Linked DNA regions of Lepisosteus oculatus. The protein of the gene in region 1 interacts with the protein of each later gene in a pairwise test. Links are inferred from orthologs where the notes say so. Each region holds a gene or a part of one and is shown in the gene's direction. Other genes may lie near its edges.

Region 1 (7,405 bases):
AAAACTGGGACCATCAGCATGGGAGGGGGGTGCTTCTGCCCGGTCCTGACCACAGACTTGGAGCAAAACAGCAACTCCCAGCCACAGCTGCACCTGAGGGTGGTAAAGGAGACCCAGGTTTTTTCCGAAATCTTCAAGAGAAGAAACATGATATGAAGAGATACTGAACTCCACTCTAGTCCTGGAGACAGGGGGTTTTCTAGCTCTGTTGAAAGAGGCTGCACCTGAAGAACTAAAAGCAATTCTTAAACTGGTCTATTTAAGACAATAATGAGTAGATAATCAGTTCAACAAGAGCTGAGCCAAAATGAAAAAACATCGGACACATAGGTCCTGCAGAACCAGGAATGCAGAACCCCTGCTGTACGAAATTTAAGAGCTACTTGAAGTATATCTTAAAGAGATCATTGTACCCAAACCCTCTGGAACACTGTCCAAAACTGTTGTCCAGTCCCTTGGTATTGTCACAGATGTTGGAAGGAACAAACTGTGGAGAGGAAGGAGAGTGGACAAAGACCCTAAGCGTAGTGGCAGAACAAGGGTTTAGCCCGGGCTCAGCAGGTCAGGGGTCATATAGAAACCAATGCCCTCAGGCAGCGGACATGGGGCGACCTGGTGCTAGGCGGGTCTTAGGACATCCAAAGGTCAATGCTGAGCAAAGGTGAATGAGTGACCCGGAAATATACAGAGAGAGAGACACCGGAAGGACAGCAAAGGACAGGAAACTAGGGACAGGACAGAGAAGGAGCGACAGGTATACTTAGATTTTCAGAAGCTCTTCAAATTTTAAGGAACTCTGTAATTGCAGATGTTAGGCATTCAGGGTAATCCATGCTCTTGGGTTAAGAGCTGATTAGTGGACAGGAAGAAGAGGTTAGGAATATGGTGTAAAAGCTCAAATTTAGGCTCTGGAATAGGATCACCACTCTTCCTAATTATATCAGAAATATCAAAGATATAAATTCTGGAATAGTTATCAAACCAGAAGGATTTGTGAACTTTATTGAAGCTGTGTAAGAAATTCAAAAAGATTTACTTTTAGATTAAGAACAGGGTTCCTCATTAAGACCCGGGCCAGCACTTGACAGAAGACATTTAATGTAGACAAGCACAAGGTGTTTCATGCAGGCAGGTTAGATTAAAGAGGTTACTTATAAAGACATCGTTTCTCTTGATCCAGATGAAGATATAGAGTTAAAAGTTTGGAAATGAAATTAAGGGGTGGTATGCTGAAAATGTATAATGCACAAGTCAAACGTCATTTACAAGATACAAGAATAATACTGCTTCTGTGGAGACAATCCAGATAAGAGCAATGAGCTGCCTTCCTGGGCTCTACAGAATGTCCTGTTCAGACTTAAATAATTACACTTCTCTCTGCTTGGACCAGAAAGGTAATGAATAAGACAATTCAAGGATTTACACAAATGCAGACTTTGGGAAAATGCATTTAAATGTGCACTTTAAATTGTAGTACAGGAGGCATCTTTACAAAAATGTTTGCAAGAGGAGGACTCAAGCTCCCCAGTCATCTTGTTAAAGCTGATACACTAACTTCTTTCCAACAATGGCTGGATGAGATTCCTTGATCCTTGATCAAGTAGCTACTGAAATACTGCACAGACAGGAGGGTCTGAATGGTGTCCTTGTCCTTATAAATCACAGGTGTTCTTTCTCTCCTGCCTTCTGTCTGGACACCAGATTTAAAGCAAATGGAGGGATTAGAGATGGTTACTGTCCGATACAAAAAGCAGAGCACCATCAGGTCTTTGAAATGTGTGTGGCTATGATGTCCTAAATGGCTGAGTTTATGACACTTGATGTGGAATAATTCCAGTTAATCCGAGAAAAAATAATTCAAGGGCTTTACAAGTTCGAAGAAACAAAAGCTTGCCATACCTTTCTCTGTGATAGAAAAGCCATTGGGACTCTTTCTTCTCTTCTTCTGCAGTTTTGCAGTCTTCCAGTTGGCTTATGAGTTGAAAGCAACTGACCATCCCTTTATATATAGTGTCTACATCACAGGAATGAAGGGGGCAGCAGCTGGGTTTCTTGTTTTCCAGTCAACAGTCCCAAGTTATCCTGGGATAAAGAGGAAATTCCCATAACTGATGAATTCGAGGTAGAGTGTGCCTCACTGCATGCTCTTTTCATTCAGCCCTCGAGATTTTGAAAGCACCTGTGTGGTGACACCTCTGTTAGTCAGAAGCAAAATGGATTGAGAAACTAGCTAATTCACACAGTGTCGAGGAGCATCAGGTTACAATATTTACTCCAAAAAGCTTGAGAGGGTGCCAATTTCCAGAGCCACCAATTATCGCATCTGCCCTGCAACAGGACATAATTATGATTTGCGTAGGAGTTATTAATTGCATCTTTTGCTTTATAGATTATATTAATCACTCACATAGTCCCTGTACCCATTTTTATTACCCTTCTACACATTATACTTTTGAGAACGTTTCTGGAAGATGAAGACACCTCTTAGGACAATGTTTCATAGTCCTAATTACAGAGGAGAGTCAAATCCTTTGACTGAACTCTTTGTTTAGAAAGACATTTTAATTTAACAATTTTCATAATCCTCAAGGTAATCCAGCTGTTTGAGTGGGGTTACTTCTGTGTTGAGCTCTGGGTTTTAGAACATTCCTTAGTAATGTGTCCTGTTTCAGTGACAGGGTTTTTGCAATTTCAGCTGTCTAACAACTGCCACATTATCATAAGTGTGTATTGCAAAATATGGTTTAATTGTTTACTTACAGGCTAGAGCAATTTGTCATTAAGAGCAACAGTTCCATGCAAATTGTGTTACTCTTGTGGCAGTATCAATATGACATTTGTCCACAACATGGAAAAATGTGTATGTGAATTAAATTAAAGCAAAAGGGGTTTTATTTAGCCAGCTCAAGGAAAGCCCCAATCCACTCACTCTTATAGATCATCTGTTTCTAAAGATTAGTAGAAATAAACAAGACTTCTGTTCAATTATCAGAACTCTGCCTTTGAAGGCTCATGGGGTTTGGTATGAGGTCACAAAGGATTATCATCACCGCAGTGTGGTGGCTCTGTGACTCAGGACCTGCAGCTGTGGCTGGAAGGTTGCCAGTTCGTATCCCGTGGCCGGCAGAGGAATCCTACTCTGTTGGACCCCTGAGCAAGGCCCTTAACTCCAACTGCTCCAGGGGCGCCGTATAAATGGCTGACCCTGCGCTCTGACCCCCAGCTTCTCTCCCTGTCTGTGTGTCTCATGATGAGCAAGCAGGGGTCTGTGAAAAGACAAATTCCTAATACAAGAAATTGTATATGGCCAATAAAGTGATCTTATTAAAATTACTGTTCTTTTGTCCTTAGAAAGTGGCGAGTTATAGAAGTTGCTGAATTGGGGCTCTACAAGGGGAGAGGATGGAGATCCCCTGATTTAGACTTCGAGATTGAACATTGTTCATGTTGACGTTATGCAGCTCAGATGAGTTGCCAGACCCTGTTTTGGATCACGGTATTGGGTTTTTAGGGGATGTGTGCAGTGTGTGGCAGGAGGAATTGACTGAAAGTCAAACATCTGGTCCCAAGCAATTTACATCATTTGCAATTGTTAAAATTGTGTAGCAAAGCATGTGCATGAGTACATTCATTCATATTGAAGCCTAATGGTAAATATATTGCATATTTGAGGCGATCAGAAGTAATTTAGATGGAGTTATACAAATTTACGATATACATTAGTTTTATCTGCAGAAGGACGTTTGCAAGTCTGTCTTGTTTATAGCTATATTGTTTATACACTGTATATTTTCTGTTCCCGCAGCACAGTTACACGTCTGGAGTCTAAAAATGTAAATGTGCCATGTTTTATAAAATTAACTTATCAATATAAGCTAAACAAACAGCCATTATTCGCCGTATCGTCCAGGCGCGATTAAAAGCAACATCTCAAAAGTATCCAAGTATTCGTGAAGTTGGTAACAATTGCTGAGGGGAAAAGGAACTTGCTGTCAGAGAATCTGCTGATCATTTCAAAATACCCACACCACGCAAAAAACTAAAAGAATCGAATTGGATTATATTTGATATTTTACTGTAAAATCAAGGAGCTGAACTCGTCGTGACCCGGAAGTGTATCAGCCAAGTCGTGGGTGTCATGGCGTCTTCCAGTATCTTCATAACCCGACTCCTGCTCTCTTCTGTAAGGTTTTGTTTGTACTATTACTGTATAATTCTAACTACTGTAGTGGCTTTGAGCGTCACTAGAATTATCTCGATTACCTTATTTATTGGTAAAATTTAATTTTCAGCTGTGAAGGAACTAATTTAGAAAGTGAAGATTCTGAAGCGAAAATTTAAGTTAGAATAGCGCAGTTTTTTATTATGTATACCATAGGACGTTTGACGTTGTTAATCTGCTTTCAGTCTAAATTTAGGCTTTTATTAATTATATTATCATCTGTGTAAGTCAGATTACACCAGAGTATTCATAAAATCATACTAATAATACAATATTCAATACTGATCAAAATTAGCCGTAGGAATCAACTTGTGATTTGTTTTTTGAATGTTGATTTGTAGGGTGTTCAATTATAACTGTGTTCAGGTCCGCCTCGGCCTATTATGAAACGTCTTCTTAATAAGTTTCAAGTTTCAAGTATGTCGTTCTTACAGTAGCAGCAGACACTGTTAGCTGATGTGAGATCGTTTTTTCTTCAGTCGCAGTGAGTAATAACTGGCCTCCAAGAGTTATCCGATTGTCTGCGTACGAAGTCGAACCTGCGACTCTCCATCTGCAATCCCGAAATGAAGACTGTCTTGATGGTAGCTGAGAAGCCCTCTTTGGCTCAGTCTATAGCGAAGATCCTTTCAAAAGGTGGGTCAATACCTCTGAGGAGGAGCACAGTGTCTGTACTGTTTCTTTCTCCCTTGGCATATGTGATATCATCAAGCTCAATGTTCGCTTACATAGACCAGTGTCACATTTATCTGAGGTCCTCATTGTGTTGAGAATGTAAAGAGCCTTAGAAAACCTGCTAGCCCCTCTCTCTCAAGGGCCAGAGCTGTGCACGTATGGACTAGTGTCTCCTGGGTTTTGTTTAGACCTGAGCGGTTAATAAAACAATCTAAATGATTTTTGAGTCATGTATAGGATGCCTCTTGAAGTCTTTTAACAATTGGTTACTCAAGGGATTCACATCATTTGCAGTCCCCTCTGAGTCCCGCCCTGGCTAGGAGTATTACTGTCCTGAAGTTACATACACTATGTAGTTGAGAGCCCAGGTTTAATGAAAAGGAGAAGAGACTGAACCCTCTTTTCGGAACTGGTTTGGGACTCCTACTTTAAATCTTGATGGAGTTGTTCTATTTCCTTTATATGCATACATTCGAGATGTAGTTTACAGTTTTAGCTATATGATGTGTTTGGTTTGTTCATTTATCCTGCGTTTTATAGCTGTGGTTTGGCTTAGTTTTGATGGTCCCGGATAAAATATATGAATTGTAAGTCTCACAAAAGCAGCCAGTGTATTTTAAATGATCAGTCAGGACACACATACACAGTTAATGTTATTCATTTTATTTTAGGATCCAACATTGAAGGCAACATTAAGCAAAACCATTAGAAAAGATAGTAACATGTTGAAAACATGACTTAGCTTACATTTTCTGACATATTCACTGTTTGTTCTGGCATTCGTGTTTAAATGGCAACTGCCATCACTTTTCTGGATTATTGCTAGATGTCTCGAATGCATATCTACCCTTTGTCACTGCTATTTCACCTTTACAGGAGATCTTATCCACGGACAATTTCTGGACTTTCAGAGTAGGCTAAACTCCGAAGGTGCTGTCCGAAACCAAATAGATTTAGCCCATTCTGACTTTGCAACTCTAAGGAAAAAAATGAAAAGCTGTTGTGACTCTGTAAAGGAATAAGAGACAGCACCTCTCCCTCTTTCTTTTGAGCTTCGACAGCCAGAATTTTACGTAACTCACCTTAAATATACCTGGATACCTCAGCTAAATATAGGTGTGTATTCATGTATTCTTCTTTCATTCTAAAAGTGTTAAGCGCATTAAGTTGTATTCAACATGTACCATTTTGCTTGTGGTCCGTGGAGTGTATTGGTTCTGTATGGATTGATAAAGTAGAATGGAAACATTAACCACTTTTTTTCCTTCCTTTTGCTTTGCCTTCAAGAGGCAATCAGTTTCCAGCATCAAAACATATAATGTCCACATATTAACATTCTAAGTTGTGCAAGCTTTGTGAACATTGGTAAAGTGCATTTTTTTAACTTTTTAAAGTATCTTTTTATTCTTAGTTAGGCTCGTATTAGTCAAGCTTACTGCTGTCTGGCTGTGGCACATATACAGGCTATCCTAATCGTTTCCTGCTCCACTGAATAGCTGGCACACTTGTCTTTTTTCTTAAGCACAGGGATTGTGATGGAAAGGGGGATGCTTTCTAAACTGGAGGCGCTGTCCTTCACTTTCTCACAGTTGTGACTGGAAGTGCAGTGGGCTTCGTGGATAACCTGGGGTATCCGGTTCACGTCCATCTTCACCCTGCAAAATAAAATGAACAGTGCTCGCCATCAGTTTGCTCGTGGTACACAGATGCACCAGAACAGAAATCTGCAACCCCAAGGTCTGGGTTTTGCCACAGGGAAAACTTCAGAAGTGCTGTGATTTTAACAAAATTGTTGATGAACTGCCAAAGGCCTGGAAGTTGAAAGGAGAGAATGCAGTAACTGTATCGACAATGACGCTTCATAAGTTAAGACTCTCTGATGTGCCTGGCTTCCAAATGAACTTTTGTACACAGCTGTGTGTTTTTACTGGAACTGCCTGCGTGAAGCACCTTGCTTTAGAGTACAGCAGCAGTTCCTATTGATCCAAATCCCTCCAGCAGTGTTAGTATATAGGTCCAACACAACTACACCCATCAGCTGACTGACGTGTGTGTCGCTTGCTAAATGAGATTTCTGAGGGCTTGTCTCAAGACTTCAGTTATTGTTAACAACACAAACGTCTTGTCTGTACAGATATAAAAAAACTTTCTGACAAGTATTGAGGGAAGTCATTTTGTGCAACTTTGATCTTTCCAAGTCAGGTCATCAATATTTTCCATGTATGTTTAACTACCACATTGCATTCTGCAGGATAGAGCTTCACTAAATGGAAGTTTGTGCTGTTATCCATCAGTTTTATACCCGATGTCATGCATGATTTCACTAAAATATTACATTCTGTACAAAACATTAAAACAGTTAAATGATCCTTAAGCCGTTGCTGTGATTAGACATGGTTTCGATGGTAAATCTAGCTAGCAATACACTGATGTCAAGTTGAAACATGAGGAATCATAGCTGAAAAACATGAGGTGTACTTACACATAGTTCCAGGGTGCCACACTCCG
Region 2 (7,285 bases), on another chromosome or scaffold:
TTCTTAAACTACCCTACATGGAACTATTAAGGTTGTTTTTATTATATGTAAGAAAATGAACCCAAAATGATTTTCAAGTAATGGTTTTCAAGTAAAGCCTTTTTTTGTATCACAGGATTTGAAATCCATATTTTGTGTTTTAAATGTAGACATTTTGTTCATTTTAACTTGAAATTGAAATACAATTGATGCTACTAACATAAACACGTTGCAATGTATGACAAAAGCTTTCCCATTACACTCTGAAATTGAAGCTCTCTGACCTTGAACATTACCTCATCTGATTGAGCTGTTTTCCATTCACAGCAAACCTATTCCAACCCTAAACTAGCAGGCAGGATAATACCTGTCTGGTTGATGTAACTGAAAAACAAAAATGTTCAGTAAAATGTCCTCATTATTAAGAACCAAATTAATAATTTTCTTCTTTGTTACATCACCTAGAACATGCTGAGGGGGGGGATATTTACATAATGCAAAACACCAGATTTATATGATTGTACAGCAGAGTATTATGTATTTTAATGTGCAGTCCAGACAGAACTACAGTTATCAGATGATAGTAGAAGATAGCTTTGTAAAACAACTTTAAAAGAGCATCAGCAAGGACTTTTAATGCTTAGATAAATACATTTAACTCATGGGACATGCAGTCTAAGTCCTTTTCTTTATGAATTCCATTCCAGCAGAGCAGATGCTTGATCAATTCTAACAAAACAAAATGTTTAAATATGTGTGATATTAGGGCATTGTATTTATCGGCAATACATTAACAGAGTGTCCAGCGATTTGAGGCTACTGTTGGAATACAATAATTATTGTTCTTCACAAACTTAGTTACAAGAAAAACACCTGTTAGTATACCAGCAACTTTCTGTTCACCTTTAGAATGACCTTTAAAAATTGACCACATGCATATCACTGCATCACAACTTCCAGCCTATAACATAATTGAAGTTTCAAATTGTACACAATAATGAAGATGTCAGCATGATATTTTACTGAAGTTTTCAGTAATATATAAAGGCGAGTCACTTTTTCAATATCATCTACAACACGTTTACATTGAACATCAAATTAAACCAACTTTAATTGAATGTATGATTGTATTTCAGTAAAAAAAAAATAAATTAATTAATTAATAAATACATTGCTTACACTTATATAGCGCTTTTCTGGACACTCCACTCAAAGCGCTTTACAGGTAATGGGGACCCCCCCCCACCTGGATGATGCGACGCCAGCCATAGTGCACCAGAACGCTCACCACACATCAGCTATCAGTGGGGAGGAAAGCAGAGTTATGAAGCCAGTTCATAGATTCATAAATATACCATCTTTTTGGGGTCATAGGGGATAACAGTGTGGAGGTCAACACAGTCAACCTAAATCCCACTGCAAACAAGACAGTAAAATAAAGACAACAGTATAGTTAAAGGAGGTCTTTACATGGAATTCATAACATTTCCCTTCTGTTCATCATGTTGTTGAAGATAAATGCTTCTCTCTACAACTGCTTCACTTCAAGTAGGGAGTTGTTTACATCAGTACAGGAATGACAGATAGTTGTAGACAGACGGAATTCCTCCCCAAGAACCTCTCCAATCTGTTCTTTCATCTTTACAATTGTTTTAGCAGAAACATAACAGAAAAATATATATATTTTTTTTTTTTACACGAAGAGCTGTCACAAAGTCAATTAATCTGATGGGTTTATTTGGAATCAACGGTGAAACACAATCTAGAGGGCAAGGGTGGAAACTACAGGGAAGTACACTGTAAACTGGCCAGCAGCCATATCACCCTGCAACTCACAACTGGCAGCCCACTGAAGCTAAGCAGGTGTGAGCCTGGTCAGTACCTGGATGGGAGACCTCCTGGGGAAAACTAAGGTTGCTGCTGGAAGAGGTGTTAGTGGGGCCAGCAGGGGGTGCTTACCCTGTGGTCCATGTGGGTCCTAATGCCCCAGTATAAAGGATGAGATGTAAAACCGAGGTCCTGACTCTCTGTGGTCATTAAAATTCCTGGCCAAATTCCCCATTGGCCCTTACCAATCATGGCCTCCTAATAATACCCATCTATGAATTGGCTTCATTACTCTGCTCTCCTCCCCACTGATACCTGATGTGTGGTGAGTGCTCTGGCGCACTATGGCTGCTGTTGCATCATCCAGGTGGATGCTGCACATTGGTGGTGGTGGAGGGGAGTTCCCATTACCTGTAAAGCGCTTTGAGTGGAGTGTCTAGAAAAGTGCTATATAAGTGTAAGCAATTATTATTATTATTATTAAACTGAGAAAACTAGACACCTGTTTACACAAAGGGTTGTGGGAGTCTGGAACAAGGTTTGCCACGTTTTCAAAGCCAGTACCCTGGCTTTCAAGAACTGGCTGAAAAGAAATTGTGTAAGAGCAGTCAATCGAGATTGTTTTATGTTCTTGTGTTGTTCCATTTTTGAGTGTCTGCAATTGAGATGTTAATGGAATCCAAGCCTAGGATGGTTCTACCCAGAATAATGTCACATGGGAAATCAGCAAGGTGTTCTTCAGTTTACAAAACAATTTTCATCCTTTGCAAGTTTAATGGGGCTAAAATTGAATAAAGTTGTAAGACAGAACCTCATCCCCTGCATTTTGTGCAATTTGTCTTGTAATACACTAGAATACTGAATGTAAATATTTATGAAATGGCTTCAGTACCTTCTCTCACACAGTTTGAATATGATGAACCTCTACTGCTTATTTATGGGTAATTAAAGACCTGTTGGAGGATTTCATTCTTACAAAGCAAGGTCTCTACCTTCTTTTAACTGTGTTGCTCTCATGGGTAATTAATAACATGTCTGTAATAGGTCTTTAGTTAGAATTGCAGTATTTCAGGTTAACCTTCAATACGTTAAACACATCTTCTCAATGTTTCCACTTGTTTGCACAGTCTTTTCTAGTGTAGTATTTCTACTCTAAGCGTTTCACTTGATATACGGGGTATGAGAAGACGTTTCAATGTGGTTTGGCAGCAGCTCGTTGTCTGGCCCGAAGGTATTAGAGGGAGTGATCAGGTTGGCCCAGTCCATGTTTCGAGTTAGCCCCCCTCTGCTGTGGACATTTTTACAAGGCTGGAAGGATTGCTAAAGATAACAATCATCCTGGTTTCTCACTTTTGTCTCCCCTTCCCTCTGGTAAGCGTTATAGGAGCATAAAGGCAAGTACGTCCAGATACAGCGACAGCTTTCCCCTGCACTGTCAGATTATTGAACTCTATACTCTATACCTCTATCTTCGACTCACGCTGATGTTTTTTGCACACTGCGTGTGCTGACTTGCATTTAAATTGTGTGTTATTTAACAATGTTGTTGCTGTGGCTGTCCTGTGTTAATGTTCGGTGTTTCCTTAATGTATCTATATTGTAGTATTCCTGCAAATAAGCATTCCATTGCACTCTAAAAGACGATGTATGTTAAATTTGGACTGCCACTCGGTTGAAGGACAAAACATTTTGGTTAAAAATCCCATGCGTTCTTAGAAGGGAGTGCAAAAAAATAAATACCACCACGAGAGACATCGGGAATTGGGACATACGTTTCAATCAATGTGACAGAACAAATTGCTGGTATCTGCTTAAAATTAAGCATAGGCTTCACTCTCTGCTCTTTACCATGAGAAGAGTCTCCTTTATGTCCAAAAAAGTCAGATCTTATTCGATTCCAAAAGTTGCCGATATACTGCAGAATTCAATAAGACGATTTCGCAAATTATCGTCTTATATTTTTGTGTGTGGTTGGGAAGAATATAAAGTACGACGCAACTGTTAAGGCAAAAAGCCTGTACTACGAGGCGTTTTAGTGGTGTCAATGCATGCACGTTTTTCAAAAGGGCCGATAAACTAAACCTACGCCCAAATTAACGTTTTTAAAACTTTTAAGACTCCCCCAACTTTAACCATTTTAACACCCACGGTAATGTGTGCGGTCTATTCGCTGTTTTCAGTCAGTTGTTTCTACCATTAAACATTCTTTTATTGGCAGGAACGGCTAAAACAAAATGATTGCTGCGCTGGTGCCATAACGTGGAAATCCGCAAAGCCCGGGAAGCAGTCTATTCAGTACGAGCAGTTATAATTAGACGTGAAACAGGATGGCACCCGTCTTTAGAATAACTTGGCTCCCACGACAGCCTAGCACTATTTCATGAAGAGGTGTCCCGGACGACGAGCTGCCGCGGACGGTTACGGCTCTCCAGTCTCTTGACACGGGCGGGCGGCCCGCAGTCGAGCTGGTTGCTAAGCTGACGTCATCGCTTCCGCCCTGCTTCTCCTCCTCCCGTGTCGGCGGCGCTGCTGCCGAGAGAATCCAACATGGAGTAACAGGAGATGGGGCTCGTACGGGGCCACCCTCAGCAACATCACCGCACACTCACAACGACGGGCTTTCGGTAATCAAATTCACACTCCAGCACGGCAGGCGGAAAAAAAGGGGAGGAGGAGGAGGACGAGGAGGAGGAGGTGGTGGTGGTGGAGGGGGAAACGTGTGTGTGTGTGGGGGGAAATCACACATTCGGTGGACCTGCACATCCAAAACAGCAACAAGAAAGCAACAGGAAAACCGGTACAATGTGAAAAACACCGGAGAGAGGAAAATGAAGAGCGCCGAGTGTTCACCCGCTGTGGGAAATTATTGTAGGTGAAAAGAGAAAATGACCGAAGAAACACACCCAGACGAGTAAGTTGGTTGCTGTTTCTTTTTTTTTTCCCCTTGTTTGTGGATTTTGCACTGGAGCTGGAGCTGGTGTGTGTCTTGTGTGTGGTGTGGTGTGGTGTGGTGGGGTTGTTAGTCAAGCTCTCCTTGCGACTTTGCATCTGCTGTTGGGCTTTGCGTTTCGGAGAAGTGAAGTTTGGCCAAGTTGCGGCACTGTTCCGGAGTTGGGAACAGCTTTGTGCTGCCGCAGGCATGACAGGGAAGAGGGGGAAGATCGGGCCTCTTTCTCTGTCATAGAGCGAGTCTTCAGAGCGGAGCGGAGAGAGAGGAGGGGGGCAGAGAGGGTGGAGGTGGATTGGAAACATTTGGTGGAAAAAAAAGGGATAAACGGTAAACAGATTTGGTTTCGTAGGAAAGTGGCGGACGACCTGCGGGTCGCTGTGCAGGCGCCGACGCCGTGTTGTTGTCGTTGCGGGTTGTGTTGTGCGTCTTGGCGGAGCGGGCGGCGCGCCGAGGTGCGGGGAAGAGGGCAGGCGCTCCTGCGGGCTTTGTGGTGTTTGTTTTGACAAAGACGAGGCATGAGAAGGGGCTTTCTCTCCGTGGAAGTGAATCAACTGATAGGCAATATCCGCCATTTCTTTTCTTGAATCGCTCTCATTTGCATACCGCACTCATTCATAAAAACGCGACCCGGAGGAGCGGTGTGTGTGGTGGTGTGTATATCGGGGGGGGCTGCTGTTTACAGGAAGCAGTTTTGACTTTTAAAACCAAAACACCTTTTTCATTTTGCTGGAAGACGCACGGTTTGCTGCTTCAGCCTGAATGTTTCATAATGCCGCTGTAGGACGGATCCCGACAATGATGGTCTTTGGACAGTGAACCCGAAACTTAAATACCCACATCACACTTCTGCGTTTATTTTCACAGTGTAGCATTAATGGAAGAGACTCTACTGTAATATTCTACGCGTGTTAAAACGTCATTAAAGGGTTTGCGCGACAAGATATGTTGGGTGTCTTTTATTCGAAAACGTTAGCTGACGTTCTCCGATTGTTTTTTTTTTAACCTAAGAGAGTGCATCTGTGCATCATTGAAATCCGTGGAGTGATGGGCACAGTCCGGTCCAGTTCAGTTTAATGGGTAACGCGAACGCACGTTGAGTTACAGGCATGAGGAGGGGTGGGTGTGTTCTTGAACAATGCGGTGGCGGTCACATGACCCTGGTCATTCACAAATGCGGTAACCTTCAGCCTCCTCCATTCATGCTTGGACCTGCCGCACCTTGAGAGTCAGCAGGATGCAAAACAGTACCCCCTCCCCCCCTGCGAGGATCGCTGTTACACTTTAATGTCATTAGGATCACAGGAGACACTGGCCAGGTTCACACCCCCGTTTTAAGTGCGCATTAAAGGTCTGGAAAACGCGCGTTATCTTCCGACAGAAGTGTCTCCTGTCCTTGGCGCCACGGTAGTTTACCCTGCATTGTAATTAAATAGATACGCAAACGTTAGGAATGAAAGACGATTCCATTCGTTAGTAACCTAATTCAGGACATTGTCGGTCATTTTTGTCTAACTAGTGTAACTTAATCGGTCGTGCTAAATGCAATTAGCACCCTTTTTTGGGGGGGACCAGAAGCAGGTTCTTTTTTTAAACTCCTGGGTATTGGTTCAGAGAATTACGAACTGTAATAGAAAGTAATTACTGTATGACTTGTCACACACCATGTTATCGGATTCCCACACACCCTGCCGAGTACACAAATGAGTCAAGCTCAAGCAGGAAATGGGAAGGTCCAGAAACGTGTTGATTTATGGTGCACGATGTGTACCTGCTAAGGGAGGAAAGGGTACTTGTGTTAACTGGTGTTGAGTGGCAGCTGAGTAGTGATGAGGGTTCTGGATACTGCAGTGGGTGTTGTGGGTTTCAGTCCCAGACAGGGAGCTCCTATTGCACCCTGAAGCTAGTTACTTATCTAAGATTGCCCCCACTAAAGTCCCTACAGTAAAACTGGGTACTCCAGGTACATGAAAGTTAGTTCTCTCTAATTGTTTGAGTAGGTCAAGAGTGAAAGTAAATAACCCAGGTGTAGACATAAGTCCCTTTACTCACCTGTCAGTGTTGGCCACTGTTCTTGTTGCTCAGTTGATCAGAGCCCACCCCCTTCTCTGGGCTTTTTCTGTCCCTTTCAGTGATATAAAAAAACCCACTGGTAATCTCTGCCCAAGCAGTTGACTGCATTATTTTAAAACACGTCTACGTCTTATAATATAGTGCAGGCTACTAATTAAATCTATTGAAGAGAGTTCGCTCTCTGGTGATGGAGTCATCTTTAAGGGTTTGAATGGTTTGGCTCTTGACTTCAGCTGTAAACTCCATGTGCACACTTGTGCTCCTTGGACTCTGGCCTTCCGATTGTTCCCAGTACAAGGCCATGTTCCTTGGGAGGCTGTGCTGTTTGTTCCGTTCCTCCGAAGATGTGTAGGAGAATGATCTCCCAGCCTCTCATCTCCCAGAGTGACCTAATCAAAAAATCCTGTTTAAAAAATTACCTTTATAGCCTAGTGTTTAATTGCTTCATTTGTTATGGTG

What was found.
Region 2: the proteins of top3b (region 1) and sprouty-related, EVH1 domain-containing protein 2 interact in binary tests that used the Homo sapiens proteins (3 or more experiments, as listed by UniProt). The link is inferred for Lepisosteus oculatus from reciprocal best matches to the Homo sapiens genes TOP3B and SPRED2.

The regions. Positions count from the first base shown.
Region 1 is NC_090717.1:2,012,210-2,019,614, reverse strand, and holds the start of top3b (DNA topoisomerase 3-beta-1), read left to right. Parts: upstream 1-4,107; 5' UTR 4,108-4,183; intron 4,184-4,701; 5' UTR 4,702-4,788; coding exon 4,789-4,858; intron 4,859-7,405. UniProt on the Homo sapiens protein: Releases the supercoiling and torsional tension of DNA introduced during the DNA replication and transcription by transiently cleaving and rejoining one strand of the DNA duplex.
Region 2 is NC_090712.1:9,017,935-9,025,219, forward strand, and holds the start of sprouty-related, EVH1 domain-containing protein 2, read left to right. Parts: upstream 1-4,249; 5' UTR 4,250-4,691; coding exon 4,692-4,717; intron 4,718-7,285. UniProt on the Homo sapiens protein: Negatively regulates Ras signaling pathways and downstream activation of MAP kinases. Recruits and translocates NF1 to the cell membrane, thereby enabling NF1-dependent hydrolysis of active GTP-bound Ras to inactive GDP-bound Ras.